3 linked regions of the Tamandua tetradactyla genome follow. The protein of the gene in region 1 interacts with the protein of each later gene in a pairwise test. Links are inferred from orthologs where the notes say so. Each region holds a gene or a part of one and is shown in the gene's direction. Other genes may lie near its edges.

Evidence for each region.
Region 2: the proteins of CPSF7 (region 1) and SNRNP25 interact in binary tests that used the Homo sapiens proteins (3 or more experiments, as listed by UniProt). The two-hybrid records come from large-scale screens. The link is inferred for Tamandua tetradactyla from reciprocal best matches to the Homo sapiens genes CPSF7 and SNRNP25.
Region 3: the proteins of CPSF7 (region 1) and CLK2 interact in binary tests that used the Homo sapiens proteins (3 or more experiments, as listed by UniProt). The link is inferred for Tamandua tetradactyla from reciprocal best matches to the Homo sapiens genes CPSF7 and CLK2.

Annotation. Positions count from the first base shown.
Region 1 is NC_135335.1:13,708,851-13,716,843, forward strand, and holds the start of CPSF7 (cleavage and polyadenylation specificity factor subunit 7), read left to right. Parts: upstream 1-4,977; 5' UTR 4,978-5,097; exon of another isoform or gene 5,098-5,170; intron 5,171-5,298; exon of another isoform or gene 5,299-5,403; intron 5,404-5,755; 5' UTR 5,756-5,810; coding exon 5,811-5,864; intron 5,865-7,993. Other genes in the region: SDHAF2 (succinate dehydrogenase assembly factor 2, mitochondrial), read right to left, coding at 3,686-3,795, 3,877-4,100, 4,838-4,873.
Region 2 is NC_135349.1:57,278,520-57,286,087, reverse strand, and holds SNRNP25 (U11/U12 small nuclear ribonucleoprotein 25 kDa protein), read left to right. Parts: upstream 1-4,655; 5' UTR 4,656-4,814; coding exon 4,815-4,856; intron 4,857-4,913; exon of another isoform or gene 4,914-5,453; coding exon 5,454-5,544; exon of another isoform or gene 5,545-5,686; coding exon 5,687-5,792; exon of another isoform or gene 5,793-6,165; coding exon 6,166-6,240; exon of another isoform or gene 6,241-6,622; coding exon 6,623-6,680; 3' UTR 6,681-7,008; downstream 7,009-7,568. Other genes in the region: POLR3K (DNA-directed RNA polymerase III subunit RPC10), read right to left, coding at 1-76, 1,315-1,402, 4,292-4,402.
Region 3 is NC_135330.1:8,215,245-8,222,580, reverse strand, and holds the start of CLK2 (dual specificity protein kinase CLK2), read left to right. Parts: upstream 1-4,276; 5' UTR 4,277-4,565; intron 4,566-7,081; coding exon 7,082-7,251; intron 7,252-7,336. Other genes in the region: HCN3 (potassium/sodium hyperpolarization-activated cyclic nucleotide-gated channel 3), read right to left, coding at 1,549-1,838. UniProt on the Homo sapiens protein: Dual specificity kinase acting on both serine/threonine and tyrosine-containing substrates. Phosphorylates serine- and arginine-rich (SR) proteins of the spliceosomal complex.

The DNA of each region.
Region 1 (7,993 bases):
AAACTACAGTAATATACCACAGTGCTTTTTAATGAGCCATGTATAAAAAAAGGCTTAAAAACAAATAAAACCTAATAATACCAAGTCCTGGCAAAGATGGAAGCAACCGGAACTCTTTGGCATTGCTGGTTGGATTGCAAAAATGGTCTGATAAATTCGGGCAATAGTTTGGGAATTTCTTATATACACTAACCATAGGAATCCTTCTGGATATTAAAAACACCTAATATAAGATATTTTATATTGCCTATAAGAGTTAAGAACACCTAATACAAGATAAATTAAAACATACATTCACAAGAACCTGTATGCAAATGTTTATAGCAGGTTTATTCATGCTCATCTAAAAATGAAACTACCCTAATGTCCTTTAGTTTGGTCAATGGATAAACAAACTGTGGTATATCCAAACAATGGAACACTACTCAACAATAAAGAGTGAACCAGAGATACAAACAACGTGAATGAACCTCAAATGTATTATCTAAGTCAGGGATTGGCAAACTTTTCCTATAAAGAGCCAGAGAGCATATATTTTAGACTCTGTGGGCCATATGTTTTGTCAGAACTACTCAACTCTGCCACTGTACTGTGAAAAGAGCCACAGACGATATGCAAATAAAAAAGTGTGACTGTTCCAATAAAATTCTATGGACACTGAAATTTGAATTTCATATACTTTTCACGTGTCATGAAATATTCTTTTGATTTTTCTCTCTAACCATTAAAAAATTGTAAAGACCATTTTCAGGTCACCGGCTGTACAAAAACAGGCAGCAGCAGGCCATAATCCGCTGACGCCCGTGCCTAGTGGAAGCAGTCAGACTCAAACACTACACACATACTACATACTGCGTGATTCCATCTGCATGGTATTCTGGGAAAGGTAAAACTATCGAGATGGAAAACAAATCAGTGACTATGAGACTGGGTGTGATGAAAGGAATAACTACAAAGGGGTACAAGGGAACTTTTGAGGTGAAGGTATCATTTTATTCCTTGACTTTGTTGGTAGTTGTTCAACTATAAGCATTTGCCAGATAACTGTATAGTAAAAAAAGGTGAATATCAAGATGTAATGGCGAGGCTGGAGGGAACTGCCTGAAAATGTAGAGCTGTGTTCCAGTAGCCATGTTTCTTGATGATTGTATAATGATACAGCTTTCATAATGTGACTGCGTGATTATGAAAACCTTGTGTCTGATGCTCCTTTTATCTACCTTGTCAACAGATGAGTAGAACATAAATGGAATAAAAATAAGTAACAGGAGGAACAAATGTTAAATTTAGTTTGAAATGCTAGTGATCAATGAAAGGGAGGGGTAAGGGGTATGGTATATATGAATTTTTTTCTGTTCTCTTTTTATTTCTTTTTCTGTTGTCTTTTTATTTCTTTTTCTGAATTGATGCAAATATTCTAAGAAATGATCATGATGATGAATATGCAACTATGTGATGATGTGAATTACTGATTATATATGTAGAATGGAATGATCATATGTTAAGAATGTTTGTGTTTCTTTTTTGTCATTTTTAAAAAAAATTTAAAAATTAATAAAAAATTTTTTTAAAAAGGTGGCTACTACTGTATGTAAATTACACCTCAATAAACTTGACGATAAAATGTAATATAAATATATATGTAGAACGGAATGATCAAAAGTTAGAATGTTTATGTTTGTTTTTTGGTATTAAAAAAATAAAAATAAAAAAATAACATATTCATACAAAAAAAAAGTAATATAAATATATAAATTCCTGGGCTATCGGGAAGGGGTAATGGATGCTGTCAGTCCCAAAGAGTCAAATCTTTACATCATAACCAGAAAGGTTGTCTGCTATTAACTGATTCCCTTTCTGTGGTGCCTTGAAGAACATGCAATACCTCTTCTAGTATGAGGAGTACTGTTATGATTTTCTAGACACTCTTGACAAATGGAAGGAAAGTGATTTCTTCTCATACTTAGCCAACTGTGTCCAGAAAGACAAAGTTTCAACTGTGACCCGAGCCTGATCATACAGCACAACTAATATACTCGAATTTTATGACAGTCCTCCAGAAGCCCTACTTTTCAGGAAACTATTGCCTAGAAGAGTTAAAAACACCTAATGTGCTAGCTATCCTACCAACCAACACTTTCCATTTCTTTATAGCATTCAGGTTCCTTTGTATAGGGAAACAGCCCTTCCCAAAGCATATAGACCTGGTAAGAAGGTAAATCCACATGACTGTATTTGTGTTACCTAAGCTGCAAGGTCCCTGCAAGCATCTTTCTCTAGATCCTTCTGCTTACTGCAGTGGAAGGGCTAAGAGGAAAACATATGCCTTAAACTCAACCAAATGGACTTTCTCTTCAGGGAGTTTTATCTCGGGCTGAATCATCTCATCAACTAGACCTTCTCCACAATCTTTCTAAGGAAGCTAGGGGATTATGTGAAACAAAATCCTCTTCCTACATGATTCCATATTACAGTCTGCCAACGAGAAGCAGTCATGTGAGATTTGCAAGGTGAAAGAGGTCAGGCCAATGCTCTCTGGACAGAGGTATAGACAGATAAGTGGACTGACATGAGGTTAAAGCACCTTCTGGGTAGGTCTTTGAAACCCACTTATTTTGTTCCTGCAGTCAAAGTTCCAAAATACAGGCACTTGAGATTTACAGCAACTTCTGGACCAACTCTTAAGAACTACCCACTGTTGCTGCAGGCTGAGATGGTCAATAATTATTGGTAGACCATCACTCTTCCAGACTTCCAATTGTTGTAAAAGCCTGAATTACCACTTTTCATGCTTGGAACCTGTAAATTGGCTTCTGTTTCCTGATACAAATATGAGTGGAGACATAAAAACGTGAGACCGAAGGAGCATGGCAGAAACGAATGAGCTATTATATCCATCATCCCCTTTTTCCTTGATAAGAGAACCTTCAATTTAGCTAAGCACATGGCCCCAGAATACCATATTATTTTTCCTTTATGGCTGGTGTAGCTTATGGAAAATGAGTGGAAATACAATGTACAACTTTCTGAGAAGTATCTACAAAGAAGGGGATATGCTGTTCTTTACTCTTTTCTCTTGGCTGTAATATGGACATAACTGGCAGAGCTTTAGTAGCCATCTGGAATCGTGAGGTAAAGGACACATGCTGAGGATGGAAGAACAGCAACTCAAAAGAAACCTGGACCACAAGACTTTTGGAAGCCCCTCTATGAGTTTTGGACTTCTATTATGAGAAAGCAAAATATAATTCTTTCCATCCTGTTTAGGCCACTATTGGTTTTTACTCATAACCAAAACTAATCCTAAACATGCACAACTAGAATTCATTCCCAGCAAAGGCAGTGCTAGGGGGGAAACTACTGAGGAATTCTTGCTCTGCAGAAATAGAGTTATCTAGATCCAGTCCATACCCAGCCTAGTTTTTCCTTAGCCTTCCCTTTGATGCTGTGAGTTTTCCATATACCCTTTCACCAAATTACTTTTTTGCATAAGTTAGACAGAATGAGTTTCTGCAACTTGCAAACAAGGAACCCTTGAAACTTACAAACTTTGGGAAAATTTTAAGAGTGTCTGGGATGTGTGTCCACTGCCACGAAAAAAAAAAAAAAGCCTAGGATACAATTCTGGACTTGTATCACCCAAGTCATCCTACTTCCACTTTGTGCTGCTTGTCACGCCCAGTACCTGTGGCCCAGTAGTAAATATCCCAGTCATTACTGGGCTCATTAATCAGGCGATCATAGAGGTTCAGCTGTTTTTCTGTCATTTGGTGCAGATATTCTTTAGCAAAGAGGCTAAAATGAGAAAGAGAAAGGAGTTAAAAAAAAGCTGTCTCTGGTCAAAGAGAAATGACACCAAGACTCTAATTCCCCTACCTAAGGAGAATACAGTTTTCCAACATTCCCCTCTTTCTGCTTTCATAGAGTAGGCGGGCTCTTTTGGTTTCTATGGACTCATCAGTTCGCTCCTGCCACGGAGGCAAGGGAATTTCAATCATGTCTTTTTGAGAATCTGCTGGGCTGTCACCTCTGTAGAAGCGTCTGAATGATGTCACCCTGACCAAAGGAGACACTGGGCTGCGACCTGACAGAGCAAGCATCTGAAACAAATAAATCGTAAACATCTTTATAATAAAAACGACTACCATCACTGTCACTCACTCGATACTTACTAGGTGTTAAATGCTTTAGATGTCATTTAACAGCCAAGGAAACCAAGGCTCAAAAAGGTTAAATAACTTACTCAACTTCACCCAAACAGTAACGGAAATCTAGTCTTAACCGCAAGCATCTGTTCTTAACGGGTACCCTACAGGAGATTCTCCTAGCAGAAATATTGTCTCCTTTCTTTACATTCCCTTAAAATTACTACAATTAAGGTTTGTTTTCCAGTCTCTCGCCTGCGTTAAAAGGTGAGGATACAGAAATGACATTGTCCTAACCCCTCCCCCCTAAAGGCTCTCAATCTAGAGAGTAGCACAAAACCATCAAAACACGATCAGAAATCACAACAGATATCAGAGGCTTCAGAACAGGGAGGAATCACAAGAGGCGGTACGGCTTAATTTGCCCGGGAAGTAGGTGACACCTGCATTGGGTCCCGCACCACGACTGATCATGCAACGATATCACGGAACAGGCACAAAATGGGCTCACGAAAGGTTGGAAGCGACCCGAATCTCCTGAGCTGCAGGATCGGCCTGCCCTTGGCCTGCCCTTGCCCTCGGCTCTCCAGCAGCTGAGCCTTCCCGGCGGTCTCTATGACTGCAGCACAAGACGAGACTCAGCCAACGCTGCCTCCTGCCCGGGACCCTGGAACCTTACTATTCTCTCTCACCCGCGCCAGAGTCGGGAATACCGTGACCACTGCCATTTTCCCCGAACAGCACCAGAAGCCTTCAGCCCAGCTACTTCCGGGAATGCCCGGGTAGCAGGACCCGAGGACTTCAGCGCGAGGGTCTGAGCCGGAAGACGCGTCCCTGCGAATAGCGGAAGTGGCAATGCGTGTGACGCAGGCGGCGGTGAGGGCGGGGCCTGAGGCTGAGAGCGGTTCGCGCGCTTCGGGCCTAGTCCGGACTCGCCGCCGCCATATTCCCGGTAACGGGGGCGCGCGGCCACGGGCCGGCGGGGCCGGAAGAGGGGTCGGGGCCGGCGCTGAGGCGGGGAGGGGGTCGGTTGAGCCTGGGGCGTCAGCAGTTGGAGGGCGGAGGGAGGCGCGGGGCTTTAAGGGAGGTGGCCGAGGACGCCGGGCCCGGTCTGTGGGGAGGGAGCTGGGCGGGCCTAGCCTGGTGGGCGAGGACTCGGCCCGGATGGGGAAACGAGGCGGCTGGAGGCGGTGCGGATCCGGGCGGAGCTCCCGGTCCCGCAGGGGCTCTGGTCGGGGCCACCCCGGGGCTTAGGCAGGTTCGGCGGGCCGGGGCTGAGGGCTTCGTCGTAGTCGTCCTTCGCAGCGCAGCCGGAGGGCCCTTAGCAGCTGAGGCCTCGACTTTCCCGTCGCGCCATAGACGGCTGCGACGCAGTTCGAGCCAGGCCCGAGGGTGATGGGCAGCTCGCCCCGCGAGCCCGGTGGCCTGGGAGAGCGGGGCGGGGTGGGGGGGACGGGAGGGGGGCGGCGCGAGGCCGGGGGCGGGGCGGGAGGGGGGCGAGCCTTGGCTGCCGGGATGCTGCATCTCTAGAGACGGGAGGGTGGCAACCCTCGCCCTCCTTCCAGCTCAGGACCCTCTTTCTAACTCTTACTCTTTTCTGGATATCGCAGTGTCATCTTTTTTACTTCGTCGGTTCTCTGCACTCGAGATCTTCCTTCCGAAGCCATGTCTGAAGGGGTGGACTTGATTGATATATACGCTGACGAGGAGTTTAATCAGGTAAGGAGTTATCAGGAGCATCGTGGTATTCGTCCATCAGCTAAGGAATCACTTCCAGCAAACTTGGCAGTGGTTCCAAGCAGTGCCGGGCCTTAAGGACTTACTAAGCCTGGACACTCCCATCAAGTTTAAAGTTTTTCCTCTATCAGAGACCTCTAAAACTACCTAATACCCCGCTTTATGTTCATTTGAGCCTTTAGGCTTAATTTTAAAGAGTTTGATTTAAGAGCAAATAAAAACTCAGGTTTAATTGAATGGTGAATTAACTTGTGGAACTTGCTCCCTCAGGAATCCAAAGGTGGATGTGCTTCTCCTCAGTGACTAACCACACTTAAAAATCAGAATTGTATTTGGTGCACTGTTCATGAGGATGATTAAATAATTTTGATTTCTGTTCTTTTCCATTCTCTCACACTGCAACTGGAAAATGGTGTAGTCCCACCCCTTCGAAGGGCATAGTATAAAGCATTTCATTTCAGCTCTCCGTTGTTTTAGTAGAAAGGCATAGTATAGAGCATTTCATTTTAGCTCTTCAGTAAGTAGCTTGTCTCCTTTCTTGAGAAGTCCATAGCATTTTGGTGTAATAAATTTTATTGATGAACCTTACTGTGCCTAGGGGGAAAACGGGTGAAGGTGTTGAACTTACCAGTTGAAAAGCAGATATATACCCACTCATCTATCCAAGGGTGGGTTTGTTGGTTTCTTAACAAAGAAACCAAGGTTTCTTGGTTTGAATATTGAAAAATGTTAAATATAAGTATCTTTTCTCTTAAAGGGATACTTTTAAGTACATTTTGGTTATGAAATCTTGAGTTCAAATCTCAAGAATGTTTGTAAGTCTCTGCCTAAAGTTTACTAACACCTTGCTTGGTTTATTTTCAGCACTGGACTACTTGGGCAAACTGGTCTCTCTGTGGGCATCTTCCAGTTAGTTCACATGAGAACCTGAAAAGAAGATAATAGAATACTAGGGGGGTTAGTGCCCTGGTTGGGCGCTGACTTTGATATGAGGAAATAGGAAAGGTTGATAGGTGCCATTATTTTCACTAAGTTTGCATTTTGGGGGCGGGGTGGTGGTGGATGGATTGCTGCTTTTTTTATTATTAATAATTCCAATAATACAAACCCTATTCCAAGAATTCCAGCATACCCCCGCCCCTAGATCCTCCAATTTTAACATTTGGCCACCTTTGTCATGTCATTTTCTTTACCTATTTATGTATATTTTCTGAACATTTAAGAGCAGGTTGCATGTATCATAGTCCTTGAACATTTGGTACTTCCATGTACATTTTCTGAGGACGAGGGTGTTTGTTTATATAATCACCTTAAATGAATTTATCAAGTTCAAGAAATTTATCATTTATATCATGCTTGTATTCTATATTCCAATTCTTTTTTAAGTCCCATTAATGCCCTTTTGAGCATTTTCTCCATTTTTAGGTCCTATATAGTGTCATAATTGCATTTAAATGCCGTTACCTTTTTAGTTTTTTCATTCTTTATTTTTCTTAAATTGTGGGAACATATGTAAAACATAATCTTCCAATTCCAACCTCTTTGAAGCGTACCATTCCATGGGATTAATGATCTTCACAAAGGGCAGTACCTTCACCAACCATTACTATAACTTTGTCTTCACTACAAACACAAATCCTGCACTCATTTTACAGTATCTCCCCATTGCTTCTGTCTGACACCCCTGTTAATCTGTGTACTACTTTCTGTTTCTGTGAGTTTGCATATTCTCATACTTTCTTTGTAGTTATCAATGGGATTAAATTTAACGTCCTAAATCTGTAACAGTCTCTTTTGCGTTGATACCATCTTAACTTCAATAGCATACATAAACTATGTTCCCATACTCTTCTGTCCCCTTTTTGTAGGTCTTATCACAAACTACATTCTCATATATTATGAGTACCAAAGCTTTGATTTGTCATTACATTTTTTTTTTAACGTGGGCAGGCACCGGGAATCGAACCTGGGTCCTCGGGCATGGCAGGCAAGCACTCTTACCTGCTGAGCCACCGTGGCCCGCCCCATTTGTCATTACATTTTATGCATTTGCTTTTCAATCTTGTAGAAAGAAAAAAAGTGGATTTACAAAGATACAATAGTATTGCTGT
Region 2 (7,568 bases), on another chromosome or scaffold:
GTCATTGGCTCATCCGCAGAGCGGGTCTGAAGTTGCATGAAGTAGGCACGAGGATGTTCACATTTGGGACATGGCTCTGACAACAAGAACAAGCAAGTGGCCCAGTTTATACAGACATGACCATAACTACTGGAAGCAGTCTTACGTTAAAAGCCACGAAATCCCTCCGCTAAACTGCTCTTCCCTGCCAAGGGCACCTCACACAGGGAGTAAATGTGTAAGCAGCTGCATTATTCCCACTCTGCTCTAACCCTAAGGGAGTCAAATGCTTCCTCTTCCTCTCAGGGAACCCACTTCTCTTCTCCAGTCAAGTTTGATCCTGGTTAATTAACATGGAGAGTGACGCCCAGCTGCCATGAGGGTTCCCAGGTCTGCACCCAGAGCTCCCTGCCCCGTGCATCGTCCGACCAAGACCACGAGCACACACCCGCTCATCTTCAGAACTCACGACACACCCACCAACTTGTCCTCAGGGACCCACTGCAGCAGCTGTCCCTCAGGCTGCTCCGATCCAACTGTCACCACACACCCTACTCCCTTTCAAAGTGCCTCAAGGCACATATTTACCTTCAAAGTGATTTCACTTTGAGAAACTGGTCATGCTCTTGAAAGAAACTGACCCTCTCATACTACCAAAACACCCTTTCTCCTATTAGAGACACATACCGCCTTTCAGGGACACACTCTGCCAAGGCTAGCCTTTTAAGCCAGCAGAACTTGAGGATCTTCAGCAGGAAAAACGCGGCACCAGTCAAGAGTTAGTACTTCTCCCTTGCAAAACAGGTTATGTCTCGAACTCTCCATTCTCCTTCCCTGCTCACATGTATCTTTCTCAGAAATGAATACACACTTGAAAAAAGACTGCTGTTTAACGCTTTCTGATATTAACTTTTAAAATCTATATTAAAAAAGATTTTTAAAAATCTGTATTAGGACAATAAGACCCTAGGTTTTCTGCATGCCCTGGTTTTTACTACTACCATCGCTGTCACTGCCCTCACAGCTACCATCTGGTGGGTGCTTCCTACATGCCAGGCACCCCATCATTTACTTTATTGGCCCCAGACAGATGAAGAGATTCAAACAGGGTCCCCAGTAAGAGGTCGGCCTGAGAATCTAACCCAGGTCTCTATGTCTCCAAGGCTTCTATCAATATCGTTGGTATAACAAATCCATTTTTAAAGGAGGAAAACAATAATTTGCTTTCCATTCTTGGAAGCCCACACTATCATCACTAATGCTGAGACAGAGTGGCATAGTTGGCAGCCTCATACTATCCACCGCTCATGAACTGGAAAAGGTCTCCCCGCTCACCTGCAGTAGAGTCAACATTCTCCCAGGCAGCTGCTCCCCCAAGCACATCATCCACTTCTTTCAGCTTTGGATACTTCCGGCTTGTTACCTAACAAACAACAAGTTTCAGACTCTTAAAGTAAGTGAACGGTATAAACCCTGGGCACCAAACCACAAGCGCCCTCGTGTCTTCCCAGACTTCCTCCCTTCAACAGTCAGAAGATAAAAGTTCCTGCTCTCACAGACCAGTCCCTGGCACCACATTGGAACTCAGAGAATCTGTGATCAGGGCACACCCCGAGCCAAGGAGTGGGAGTCAACAGGTAGAGGAGAGCTCTGTATGGATTAGAGAGGCACAGAGCAGAAGAAAGAATGGCTTCAGACAGGCCTTCCTCCTCTCCCACCCCTCCAGGGTATAACTCAAAATGAGAGCAACAAATACAACCAAACTTCAAAAACAAAGAGCACCACTTAGTGGGGTAAACTGGTCACTCCCTGCACAGAGTTTCCGAAGCAGTCTATGCTTGGCTTTTATCAGACATCCTTGGAACTTCGGGTTTACACGAGTTTTGGACTCTATTGCTTATGGTTAAGTAGTTTGCAAACATTAAGAAGAATGAGATAACCAACGATGTCAAGAAAATCAAGATTCTCTATTTTCTCCCACTGAAATTAAATGTATTTAAAAGGAATTTTTCACAAGCATCAGATACTAAATAAATTTCAGATAAGTTTACATATTTAATAAAAACACTGGTTTTATATCATTTTGTGATGAGAGATGTCTTAAGCAGCAAAAATCTATATAGTCCCTAGCAACAATATTTATTATAATCAATTACAGTGTCTTGGTTTTCGGCTTTATTTCAATACATTTGAAAAAGCCTTTATAAAATAAGTGTATTTACTGACTTTATCAGTAAGACTCCAAAGAAAGTAATTTGTAGTGCTTCACAATTTTGTAACAAATTGTGTCATGTTTTATAAGGCTGTGTTGAAAATGTTTTAAAAGGAAATTTATAAATGTACAAATTTACATAATTTGGGTCTTTATAATTTTATGTTAGAACTAGAAGAGACCTTAAGGACTCTCCTCACATTATAGATCAGAAACAGGAAGTTCTGAAAGGTGAACTTAATTAACTGATGAAGTTTACAGAGCTAATTAATTAATAACAGTGTATACTGAATAAACCACTCCAGGACTCTCCCTCCTACAGGAAGCAAAAATTATTACTAAGAGCTGATAAGAAAAAAATTAGAGAAACTTAAAATGCATTTAACTTAAGATAATCTGCTCGGATAACACTTTATTTTACTAATGAGAAGGGATATTAGTAATAGACGAAAGCTTATCAATATCAGGACTTTAGATCAAGTAAAGACTTAGATGGGATGATGTGTCTTGATTATACAGTAAAATGGCTTGAAGTTCATTTTCAATCCAACTATGCTTCAGTACTTGCAGATTCTAAGATCACATCTTAAAGTCCAGGTTTCACTAAAAGAAGAAAGTAAAATATGAAGCCGCAACAAAATGTTGTTATAAATTTAGTTTGGGATATTTAATCCTGTGCTCAGGGAAAATCAGTACCTAAGTAAATTATCGCATTAATAATTATTCTTAAATTTCTAACCTCTAAGAGGTGAAACCTACACGTAAATAGAATACCCACTTCTAGAAATGGTAGAGGTGCAAATGCCAGGAATGTATTCTAATGGAAATGAAGACAACGATAAATTATGTATTTATCTGTTTAAAAGAAAAAAAGGAAAATGAGATAGCACGAACGTGCTCTACTCTAAAAAGTAAAGGTGTTGAAAACTCAACAATAAGAAAACAAAATGGGCATATTACAAAATGGGCAAAAGAGCTAATGGGTACCTCACGTCACCTCAACATCATGTTATTAATGAAATGTAAAACACAATAAAACACTACAAACCAAATACAACAAATATGTTATATTATAGAATTTTAAAACAAAAGGAGAGAGAGAGGAGAAAAATAAAAAGTAAAAAAAAAAGCCTCCAATGAGCTGAGACTCAGCATCAAGGGATTGAGAAAACCTTCTCGACCAAAAGGGGGAAGAGCGAAATGAGACAAAGTGTCAGTGGCTGAGAGATTCCAAACAGAGTTGAGAGGTTATCCTGGAGGTTATTCTTACGCATTAAGTAGATATCACCTTGTTATCCGAGATGTAATGGAGAGGCTAGAGGGAACTGCCTGAAAATGTAGAGCTGTGTTCCAGTAGCCATGTTTCTTGAGGATGATTGAATAATGATACAGCTGTCACAATGGGACTGTGTGATTGTGAAAACCTTGTGTCTGATGCTCCTTTTATCTACCTTGTCAACAAACGAGTAGAACATATGGAATAAAAATAAACAATAGGGGGAACAAATGTTAAAATTGATTGTTTGAAATACTAGTGAACAATGAAAGGGAGGGGTAAGGGGTATGGTATGCATAAATTTTTTTTCCTGTTTTCGTTTTACTTCTTTTTCTGAATAGATGCAAATGTTCCAAGAAATGATCATGATAATATGCAACTATGTGATGATATTGTGAATTACTGATTATATATGTAGAACGGAATAATATGTTGTTTTTGTTAATTTTTTTAAATTAATAAATAAATAAATTTTAAAAAATTATATGGGATGTTAGCAGGTGAGTCCTAGGGGAAAAAAATAAAACGGGAGGAGGACATAACGGGGGAGCTGCAGGGCGCTTCCTCAGGGAGAGGGAAGCGGGCAAAGGCCCGGCGCGGTGGGGGTCCTCCAGGAGGCCCGCGTCGCAGCGGCCGCACGAGCGAGCAAGGTCGGGGTACCGCCGCGGCTGCGCCCGCCCCTGGGGGCGGCCCTGGGGTACGAGGCGGCTGGAGGCCGCGGGAGTCCCAAAGCTGGGGGAGAGCGGAGGAAGGGCGCTGTGGGCTGACGGGGGGTGGCGGGGACCAAGCCGGTGTCCGTGGCGCGGCGGGCCTGCGGGACTCACCTTGCGGGTGATGTTGTGCACGTACGGGCAAGTGTTGCAGGCGAAGCGGTGGCAGCGCTGACCCTCCTCCACAATCAGCCCGTTCCCGCAACCCGGACAGAAAAGCAACATGGCGGCGACTCCCGGCAGTCTCCACGGCCCCAGCTTCCGGGACCCGTCGGTGCCGAGGCCTCGAGCTTTCATTGGCCTTGGCAGCCGCCTGTCCTTCAACTCACCAATAGACACGCCGCTTACGTGCGCCCTGTGGGACGGGCAGCAAACTGTCCTGCGGTTGTCATTGGTTATGATGACCGCCCGTCTTCCAGATGCACCAATGACCTGCCTCCCTCGCTCTGCGCGCTGCGGTCCCGGCGCGTGCGCACTCTGCCACCCTCGCGCGAGCCTGCGGGAGCGGCTCCCAGCACCCGCCGCCCTGGCCGAGGCGGGGGTCGGGGCGCGCCCACTGGCGCCGGAGGACGAGGAGGACGAGGAGGAGGCGCTGCCGCACTCGGAGGCGGTGGACGTGTTCCAGGAGGGCCTCGCCATGGTGGTGCAGGACCCGCTGCTGTGCGACCTCCCCATCCAGGTGCGCGGGCGGGCCCAGGTGCCCGCGCTGGCGGAGGCCCCGGGCGCGGGTCTCGGCGGCGCTCGCGGCGCGCGGTCGCAGCAGGTTTAAAAGCCGCAGTTAGTGCACAGAAAACCTTCGCGGTGGGCAGGCTTTAAGCACAAACAAGTCCAGAGCTGACTTCTCCATGAGTGGTGCATTTACACTCCCGTCGTCTCGGGTCGTGCGCGTGCCGGTGCCCCTTACCCTTCGCACGCTGGCCCTGTCTGGTGACCGAGGGCCCTCCGGGTGGAGCGACCAGCCCGGCGTCCTCTCCTGCCCAGCCTTTAGGCTGTAGGAAGCAAAGGCCTGGACCCGGAGTGGGCGCATCCTCCTGTGTCTGTACTCCTGGCCCCCACCCCACGCCCACCGCTTCTGTCCAGTCTGAAACTTGAACGTAAATGTGTGGGTGGAACACGAGTAAGCGGGAAATCTAGTTTACAGGCAAGACCCCCTTTCCCTCCCTACCCTTCATAAAACGTGGTGACCACTGTGTGGACACGGCCAGCTTGTTCTCCTTCATGCTGTTTGGGGTAATGAAGGAGCGCTGGGCCCCACACACCCCTTGGTCTTTTCTAGGTCACTTTGGAAGAGGTCAATTCCCAGATAGCACTAGAATATGGACAGGCAATGACAGTCCGTGTGTGCAAGATGGATGGAGAAGTCATGCGTAAGTGGCCCGTCCTCACAGGGCCAGGTGGCGAGACAACGTGTGGTGCATGGATGCCTTGTTGTTAGCAGGGGTGGGCAGGGCATGTGGGCTCTGACAGTCGGTCCCCACCACGGTCTCCCGTTTGTGTCCCCGGTGGCAGCTGTGGTCGTCGTGCAGAACGCCACGGTCCTGGACTTGAAGAAGGCCATCCAGAGATACGTGCAGCTCAAGCAGGAGCGGGACGGCGGCATCCAGCACATCAGCTGGTAGGTGGGGTGGTGGCTCCTGGGCAGCCTTTCGGAGGCAGGCGTGGGCCGGCGGGGAAGTAGCTCCAGCTCCAAGTGAGCACTGCTGCTGTAAAGCGGCGAGGGACGCACTCCCTGCCCCAAGAAGCTCGGGCAGTTCTTCCTCATCTGCGCCATCCTCATCTGGGCTCCTGGTGGTGCTGCTGTCTGCTGGCAGCCCCTCCCTTCCTTGCCTGGTTCTGCAGCCGAGGGTGTTTGGTCTTTTGAGAGCAGCACCTCCTTGGAGCTACTTGGAGGGGCGCACGTGGTGCAGGAATAGCACAGAAGGAGAGGCAGGCCGCTGCGGGTCCCAAAGGGCTGAGGCAGCAGGCATTCACCTGCGTCCCTCCCGCAGGTCCTACGTGTGGAGGACGTACCACTTGACGTCCGCAGGGGAGAAGCTCACAGAGGACAGGAAGAAGCTCCGAGAGTAAGTTCAGGCTGCATCTTCACCACTGGGAAGATTGGTTCTTGCCTCCAGGACCCCTCCTAGGGGAGAGCCAAGAGCACGTGGGTGCTGTTGCCTTCCCAAGAAGTCCTGTGGGGTCAGCAGAAGTCCTGGGGTGCTTCCAGGGAGCTGGGTCTTAGCCCTCCCGCGTTGTGGAGGACAGGCAGAGGAGCAGATTTGAGTGCACTGCAGATCTCACCAGCATGAGGAGTGCGTGCTGGGGGGCTGCATGTGCATGGAGAAGAGTGGGGCTGCGGGAGGACGGACATGTGGACTGTCCTAGATGAGCCTCTCAGGAGCTCAGGTGGGAGCCCCTGAGGAGTTTTGTGTAGGTCCAACACGGCCCTCTTTCCTTCTCTTTCAGTTATGGTATCCGGAACCGGGATGAGGTCTCCTTCATCAAAAAGCTGAGGCAAAAATGAACCACTGGACTAGGGCAGCTTTGTTCACTGGTGGCCAGGCTTTTTCTGCAGGAAAGAGCCCTTAAGTCACCGTCCATTTTCAGAGGCAGGTTGAGGTGGCATCACCCCAGGTGGGTTCTGCCTCCTCCCCCTCCCCCATGGGGCTGTCAGCAGGGCCCTCTGGGATGGGCAGCTCAGGCCCAGGCCCAGGCACTCCTCTCCTGCTTGGGTTGGCCAAGCTGACCCCTCCCTGGGCCCAGACATCCCGATGGCCTGGTGGATCCTAGAAGCCTGTGGGCCCAGCTTTGTATACAAAATAAATCTGCTTTTTAGTTTGAAAATTCAAAAAGGCAACTGTACCTTAAGCAGGAGGGACTGGGAATGAGGAGGGGTGAGGCCCAAGACTGCACACCTGTTCCCCCGACCATATAGCCCTGTTCCCGTTGCCTGTGTGGTGGGGAGGGAACAGAAGACGGGTACCATCTGTCTGAGCTAGTGGGGGAGTAAGGGCTGGGTCCTGGTGACCACAGTGGTAGTGTGGGGCATACAGCCACAGAAACCCCACAGGCTTTCCCAGCAGCAGTCTCAGACTCAGTGGAGGGGTGGTGGTGAAACGAGCAGCTGGACATGCAGGGAGGTGGGGCAGCGCCCCCGCAGGGCGAGGGCATGCCAGCGGGTCCCTGCAGTCCTGCTCCACCCTCACCTCACTGTGACCTCACTGGGAGAGCCTGTCCTGGGGAACTGGACATTGGAGGCGAGGGCCCTGGAGGCTGGGGAACCTCACTGGCTGCCCAGCCAGAAACCAGAAAGGAAGAGACAATTCATAGTAAGTTAGTGGCAGCTAAAACGCTCCCAGTCCATTTATTGGCCACATGAGGTGGTCGTCAAGAGACTAGTTAAAAGGTAGTT
Region 3 (7,336 bases), on another chromosome or scaffold:
GCACTTAAGGAGGAGCTCCAGAGGAGGTAGCAAGATAGCAAGGCTGTGTTCCCTTCCTCTTCTTACACCCCTATGCCCTCTGGGCCTCTGCTTGAGCACAGGCAAGGGCTTGAGCAGGGGAAACCCATTTCCTGTGGCAGAAGCTGTGGAAAGATGTCAGGAGGGAGCTGAATTCCTCATTCAGAGAAAATTACTGGACTATCTTTAGTCTCAATTTATATAGGGTCTCAATTAATATAGAGGTTTAATTCGAGAACACATCTAATCCTAGCATGAACCTTGGATCCAGCCCCTTATGGTTTTGACTGCGGTATTAATCCTTTCAGACCCTGAAAGGGGCTTGGCGGTCCCCAAGACCAGGATTTCCCTCCAGGCCTCCAGGAATCTCTCAGACTGTACTTTCAACAAACAAGAAGCCCTCAACCCCCCTCGGCTGCTGAGGAGAAATCCTGTACTGTGAGCTAAGAAAGGAGAGAGAAAGAGGGCTTGCCTAACCACAGAGCATCTTCACAGCCTGACTCACAGGCGGTCACAAGCCCAGCGGGTGATGCAGTAGAGAGGACAGAAAAGAATCCCGATCGTAAGGGGGGACACACGTTTCTGAGAGTGAAATGGGGCAAGGGAAGGAGACCCATACAGACTAGGAAAGGTACACTGGTAGGGGGAATGAAGAAAAGAGAGGACTGGAAGGAACAATGGGGCAAGGAGAAGCATTAGGGAGGGCACATGTCTGTGGATTCAAGACGATGTCTAGGTCTCCAGTTCTGTGTGCTCAGCTCCTGAGTCACACCTTGTCCTTTCTTTCCCCAGGGTAGGTGCTTTGCACCCATCCCTGGCCCATTTAAAAGCTGTCCTTCATTTCCCCCAAGGACAGGGCTACTCTCCTCCTCTAACGACCTTGATGTAGAGGTACAGCCTGAAGGGGACCGTGAAATGGCCCCACCCCCAACCCTCGTTTCTTCTCTTTGGGAATCACCTGGGCGGTGGCCGTGTCCCGCTGCAGTTGCCTCAATCGCTCAAAGTACCGGCCCCGGCTCCGGCCCACCGCCTTCAGCACCAGGGACAGAGACCAGAGCCGTTATCGGGTACCTCCCCACTCCCCCATCCTCGGCATTCCTAACCTAGGCAAATGCTGACCGGTGGAAGACAGCGGAGCTCGGCTTCTCCCTAAGACTGACCCTGAACCTTGGAATAATATCCCAGATCCCCAGCAAGCAGGACTGGAGGAGGCAGGGATCCATAACCCTGACATTCCCTGTGGTCCAGATGGGTCCCAGGTTCCTGAAACGGGAACTCCAGATCCCCGAAGATTCCCTGTTATCTGCTTGCCCCTTTGGGCTTCCCCAGCCCGAGAAATCATCGAGGACCTCCGGCCAGATACCCCCCACCCAGGAATTCCCAGGCTAGGTGGGGAGAGGTGACTTTTCCGCCCCACCCAGGGACCCCTGTGCCGGAAATGAAGTGACCAAGGAGGCTGGAGAGGACCCTGTACTGCACCCACGGGGGTGGGGTCTGTGTCCCCCGCCCTCCTTGCCCGGCCCCCAGTACCGGAAGTCGCTGTAGGGATGGATGATCCAGGCCCCCGCAGATTTGACCCGCTCCTGCTCGATTTCCACTGCTTTGTGGCTGCCGAACACGCGAAGCGAGAACTTGTTGACCGTGGGCTGGAGCAGCGTCCTGAGCTGCCTCCTTTTGGGCTCGGACCCGGTCCCAGACCCGGACCCGGGAATCTGACCCGAAGCCGCGGTCGCAGGGACCGGGGCAGCAGGAGGCGCCGCCTCCAGCCCAGGGGTCGCCCCGTCGCCGGCCCCCGCCGCTGGCCGCCGCTCTGCCTCCATGACGCCCGCCAGTTTACACGCTTGGCCTCCTGGATCCCACCGCGGCCATCGGGGACACCTCCCTGACCCCTGCCGGAGCCGGAGCCGGAGCCTGCATAGCCCGGCGGGCTCGGAGCGGAGGCGGCGTCGGCTGGGAGCTGCCCTGGCGCTGGGCGGAGGGGGGGTGTGTGCGACAGCCTGGCGGGCGGGCGGGTTGCGTGGCGCCCCCTGGCGAGGGCCGCGCGAAAGCCAGGCAGTGCGGGCGGGGGCGGGAGGTCCCGGGGTGGGCGTGGCTTAGCAAAACTGAGGTGACTCTCCAAGTGCAGATCGCCGAGAAGGCGGGGACGCGCAGCCTGAGCCAGGGGGCGTGGCCAAGAGTCCGGCGGGAAGGGGGAGGGCGTCCAACCACACAGCGCCAGGGGGTGGAGCCTCCCGCAGGAGGCGGGAAAAACCGGCGTGGGTTGTGTCTCCTGACACTGGGGAAAGCGATGGGACTGAACGCCAGCGGTAGGAATGGGGAATGATTTTTTAAATTCTTACCCACTGTCTCCCACGGACTTTTGTCCTCTTCAATTCCACCTTCTCTTAGCGCTCTCCTAGGCATATTCCCTTTCAATCTCTTCTCTTCTAAGCTGTTACCCCTAGTTATTCATTTCCGAATTCATTCACCAAGCGCGACTCTGCCTGGCATTAGCGGACGCCAAGAATATAAATATGAGTACGAAAGTCCCAGCCATCAAGCCACTGCTTGGCTATACCCATGGAGACCAGAACACAGGGAAATTACAGTGCTATGTGATGTTAAGTGCTTTAAGTTTCTAAATATCTCAACTTCTTTTCCTCCATTTCTTACTGCCATTGCCTTACTTTAAGTCTGGGCCATTTTCTCCGTAGATTATTTCAGAAGCCTCTAAAAGGGGCTCCGACCTCTCCCAGACCAATTCTTTTTCGACACACTGCTAGAGTTACCTTCCTAAAATCCAAATGTAGCTACCTTCCCTTGCTTAAAGTCCTTCGAAATTCCTCTTCTTCCTAGGATAGTATTTAAACTCCCTAACATGGCATATAAGGCCCTGCGAAATTTAGACTAAGTTTCAACAACCTCTCTTCTGATAGTCTTCTTGAAGTCCAAGGCTCCAATCATGCTGACATGCTAACAGCTCCCTGAAATGCTTTGTTCTGTTTCATCTCCAGACCTTTGCAAATGTTTTCCTTGCCTAGTTATATGCTCCTCCAATTTACTTTCCAACACTTGGTTCTGATTTCCCCTGGGAAGCCTAAAAGCACATTTCCAACTCTCTTTTCCCAGGCAGGGTCGAGCCTAGAGCTTTTTTTTTTTTTTTTTTTTTAACCTATAGCTCAGATGCAGCTTCATTCAGTGTTTTAGCCTAGAGCTTTTTACAGCAACCATGACACCATAGTTGATAACGGTGCCTGTCATATGGCTGCCATTATTTGTTTACAGATCTTTTTCTGCCATTACATTGTGAGGCTCTGGTGAACAGGAATCCCGAGCCTGGCGCAATGCTGGACGTAGTAGCACTCAGTAAATGCTTGTCAAATGAATGAATGATCCGAGAAAGTGTTAATGGTAGAACGAAGTGAACTATTCGGTCTTTCTCCCCAACCTCTTCGTTACCTTTCCACTCCTATTTTAGTGAACTTCTAAGCCGTTGCTGCTTAACTCGTCTAATCTTGATCTGGTTACTCCCCCATCTAAGCTACCCTCTGATATTCCTTGAGTTAATACAGTTATCCTTGGGTTATTTTTAAATTTCCCTTGCAAGTTTCCTTTCTGGTCAACTGTCAATTCCTTCTATAGCGTTTCTGACCTCACCTAGTTAGCCTCAAGGTCTCTTCCTCTCTCTCTCTTTTTTTTCTTTCCCGATTCGGTGAACTTATATTTCTCACATTTTTCGTACAAGGCACGTAGGATACAGTTCTCAAGTGATTTCCCTTTTTCGGCACCTGATTGTTCAGCCTTCCATTTTTCACACTTTACTTCCACGGCCATGCCCCCGCCCACACACATGAATAACTTTTGTTCAGAACAAAGGTTGGGAACCCCTCTTTGCTGCGGTTAGACAGGTACTGTTTTAAAAAACTGGATATTTTTCGGCTATGCTGGTGAAACAGACCTCACGCCAAGCCTCTCAAGATAAGGTCTGCGGAGAGACGACACACCTTTCATTCAACAAAGCCACAGAAATCTCGATGAAAAGGGTAAAGGACTGGAGACCGAGAGGAGGCGGGGCAAACTGGTCTAGTAGGTGTCCGTGCGCCCCTGCCACTCCTTCTTCGCCCCCAGGAACATCCACCCTCGGCATCTCTCCCGCCCCATTGGGCGGACGCCCACGACCTACGTGAGCACGCGATGGCGTGCGCGCCCCTGGGGGCGAAAACCAGGGGTAGCTGGGAAGGGACGCAGTGCGTGCCTGCGTGCGTGCGTACGTGCTCGCTCACGGTGGCGGCGGCGGATCGGAGAGGCCAGATCCGGAGACCGAGCTGGGATCGGGCCCCGGGCGGGGGCGGTGCGAGCGGCGCCAAGTGGATCCTGGGGGCGGGGACGGAGCAGGGGCGGGCGGGACTGGAGCGGAGCCCGGGAACGGGGCGGGAGGTCCCAGGGTTCTGGGTTGGGGGGTGTGGAGCTGCACTTCGTCGCCGCGGGGGTGCCGGGACTCCGGCCGCAGTGCCGCCGCCATCACGGACTTCCTGTGGGACAAGCGCACGGGCCTCGCCGCCAGAACGGTGAGCGCGCGGGCTGCGGGTTCGCGCGGAAAGATGGCGGCTGTGGGGGCGCGCCCTGCGGGGCGGGCGGGGGTAGGATGGAATTGGGGGCAAGGGACGGGGGCGAGATTATGAGAGAGTTGAGACTTGGGAAGTGGCAGAATGGGGGAGTAGGGAGATGAAGTGGAAAGAGGTCGACCTGCCTTAGATCTGTCTGGGGAGGTCCATAGGAAACTTGCGAGGGGCCAAAGTAGGAGACGGGTGATGGAGTAAAGGATAGGAGAGGTCCCAGAGATGAGAAGGAGCAAAACATCAAAGTTGAACCAAGGCTGAGGGAGAAGACACGGTGTGTGTCACGTGGGATACGAAAAGAGTTTGAGTGTGTGTTGGGTTTTTTAAATGTGAAAAGTAAAAATAGGATTTCTAAGTTGAGAAGTGTTCTAGGCTATATATGCTTTGTGGGAAGGAGGACTGTGAGGAACTTTGGTGGCAGTATGTATGTGGTAAGGTGTTATTTATGTGACTGTGTTAACTAAACAAGGTTGAATTACCTGTGCTTTGCATCTTATTGGTTTTCTCCTATTCCCATTAGGCCAGGAATGAGTCAAATACCACCCGCCCCAATTTGAGGAAGTTGGGAAGCAGTGGCTCAGAATGGGAGCCAGATGTTAGAGTCATTAATTCTTTTGCACACTTTATCCTACCACCACCACCACTACTTCTGAATCCCTGGGTCTGTTCATTTTGTTCTGCCCTCCTATTCCCTTCTTCTTAGATTATGACAATGATTTCTGTCTTGATTCTTTCTCTAAAAAACATCTGTGCACCTTGCAGTTCTATATCCAGTAACTAGAGGGTGGCCAGTTCTCAACCAAGTAATTTTTTTTTAATAAAACCAATCAACACACAATATGAACATTTTTTTATGACATAGTTGTATATCATCATCATGATCATTTCTTAGAACATTTGCATCAATTCAAAAAAAAGAAAACAAAAAAAATCATACGTATAATACCCCTTACCCCTCCCTTTCACTGATCACTAGCATTTCAGTCTACTAAATTTATTTTAACGTTTGTTCCCCCTATTTTTTATTTATTTTTAATCCATATGTTTTACGCATCTGTCCATAAGGTAGATAAAAGAAGCATCAGACACAAGGTTTTCACAATCACACAGTCACGTTGTGAAAGCTATATCATTATACAATTATTTTCAAGAAACGTGGCTACTGGAACACAGCTCTACATTTTCAGGCAGTTCTCTCCAGCCTCTCTGTTATGCCTTAACTAAAAAGGTGTCGTCTATTTTTAATGTGTAAGAATAATCTCCAGGATAATGTCTCGACTCTGGAATCTCTCAGCCATTGACACTTTATTTTGTCTCATTTCTTTCTACCCCCCTTTCGGTCAAGAAGGTTTTCTCAATCCCTTGGTGCTAAGTCCCAGCTCATTCTAGGATTTCTGTCCCATGTTGCCAGGAAGGTCCACACCCCTGGGAGTCATGTCCCACGTAGAGAGGGGGAGGGCAGTGAGTTTGCTTGTTGTGTTGGCTGGAGAGAGAGGCCACATCTGAGCAACAAAAGAGGTTCTCGTGGAGGTGACTCTTAGGCCTAATTTTAAGTAGGCTTAACCTTTCCTTTGTGGGGTTAAGTTTCATATGAACAAACCCCAAGATTGGAGGCTTAGCCTATTGCTTTGGTTGTCTGCACTGCTTGTGAGGATATCAAGAATTCTCCACTTGGGGCAGTTGAATTTTCCCCCTTTCTCACCATTCCTCCAAGGGGACTTTACAGATACTTTTTATTCACTGTTCAAGTCCTTCTGGGATTTATCGAGTCAGCCACATAATTTTGATATTAATTAAAAATAGTTATTCTCTACTAGCACAAGAGGGGAGGAGTCGGATGGAAAGCTGATTGTACTTTGGGGCCTCCTGTATTAAAACCTCTCACAAAGATGTGAGAGACAGTAGTTCAAGGATTCAGGCCCAGATTTCTTAAACTTGCTTAAATTTGGTATATACCTACTATATCTAGAAATCTATGAACTGGATTCCCACTCTCAGAATACTGATCATCTAGCTGGGAGATAAGATACATTCTTAGGGACTGAAAAAGCCTAACAGTGTATGCTATAGCTTTATTCACTTGTTATGAGAAAGTCATTGTGGCATAGATCTGTCTTGGGACTGTGACAGTTTCTGTCAGTCACACAGTCTTATCACGATAGAATTATGGCCCAGACCTGAGAGTCTTTCACGGAGCCGTGTTGGGGGAAAACGAGGTTAGAGGAATGAGCAGCATGGGTGGAAGGGGAGCGTCCCAGAGTTTTCAGTCACAGTAGTTGAGTACGCATTCCAATCAGGAGGAATTGTAAGCACAGAGGAAGACTGAAGAAGTTGTGAATGGTGAAAAGAGGTAGGGGTAAAAGAGCAGAAAGCAGGTTAGCATCTTTGGAATAGTGGGTCCTTGTAGGGGGACCTCTGGAAACTCCAAGCATCCCTCACTATTTCCACTTTTCCTTCCGTTCCAGATGCCTCATCCCCGAAGATACCATTCCTCAGAGCGAGGCAGCCGGGGGAGTTACCATGAACACTATCGGAGCCGAAAGCATAAACGACGAAGAAGCCGCTCCTGGTCTAGTAGCAGTGACCGGACACGGCGGCCCAGGCGGGAAGATAGCTACCATGTCCGTTCTCGGAGGTGAGGCCTCTGGAAGAAAAAACGAGTCTCAGGGTCACAAATATTTGTTCAACAGGTATTTATTGGTTACGTGCTAAGGGCATTG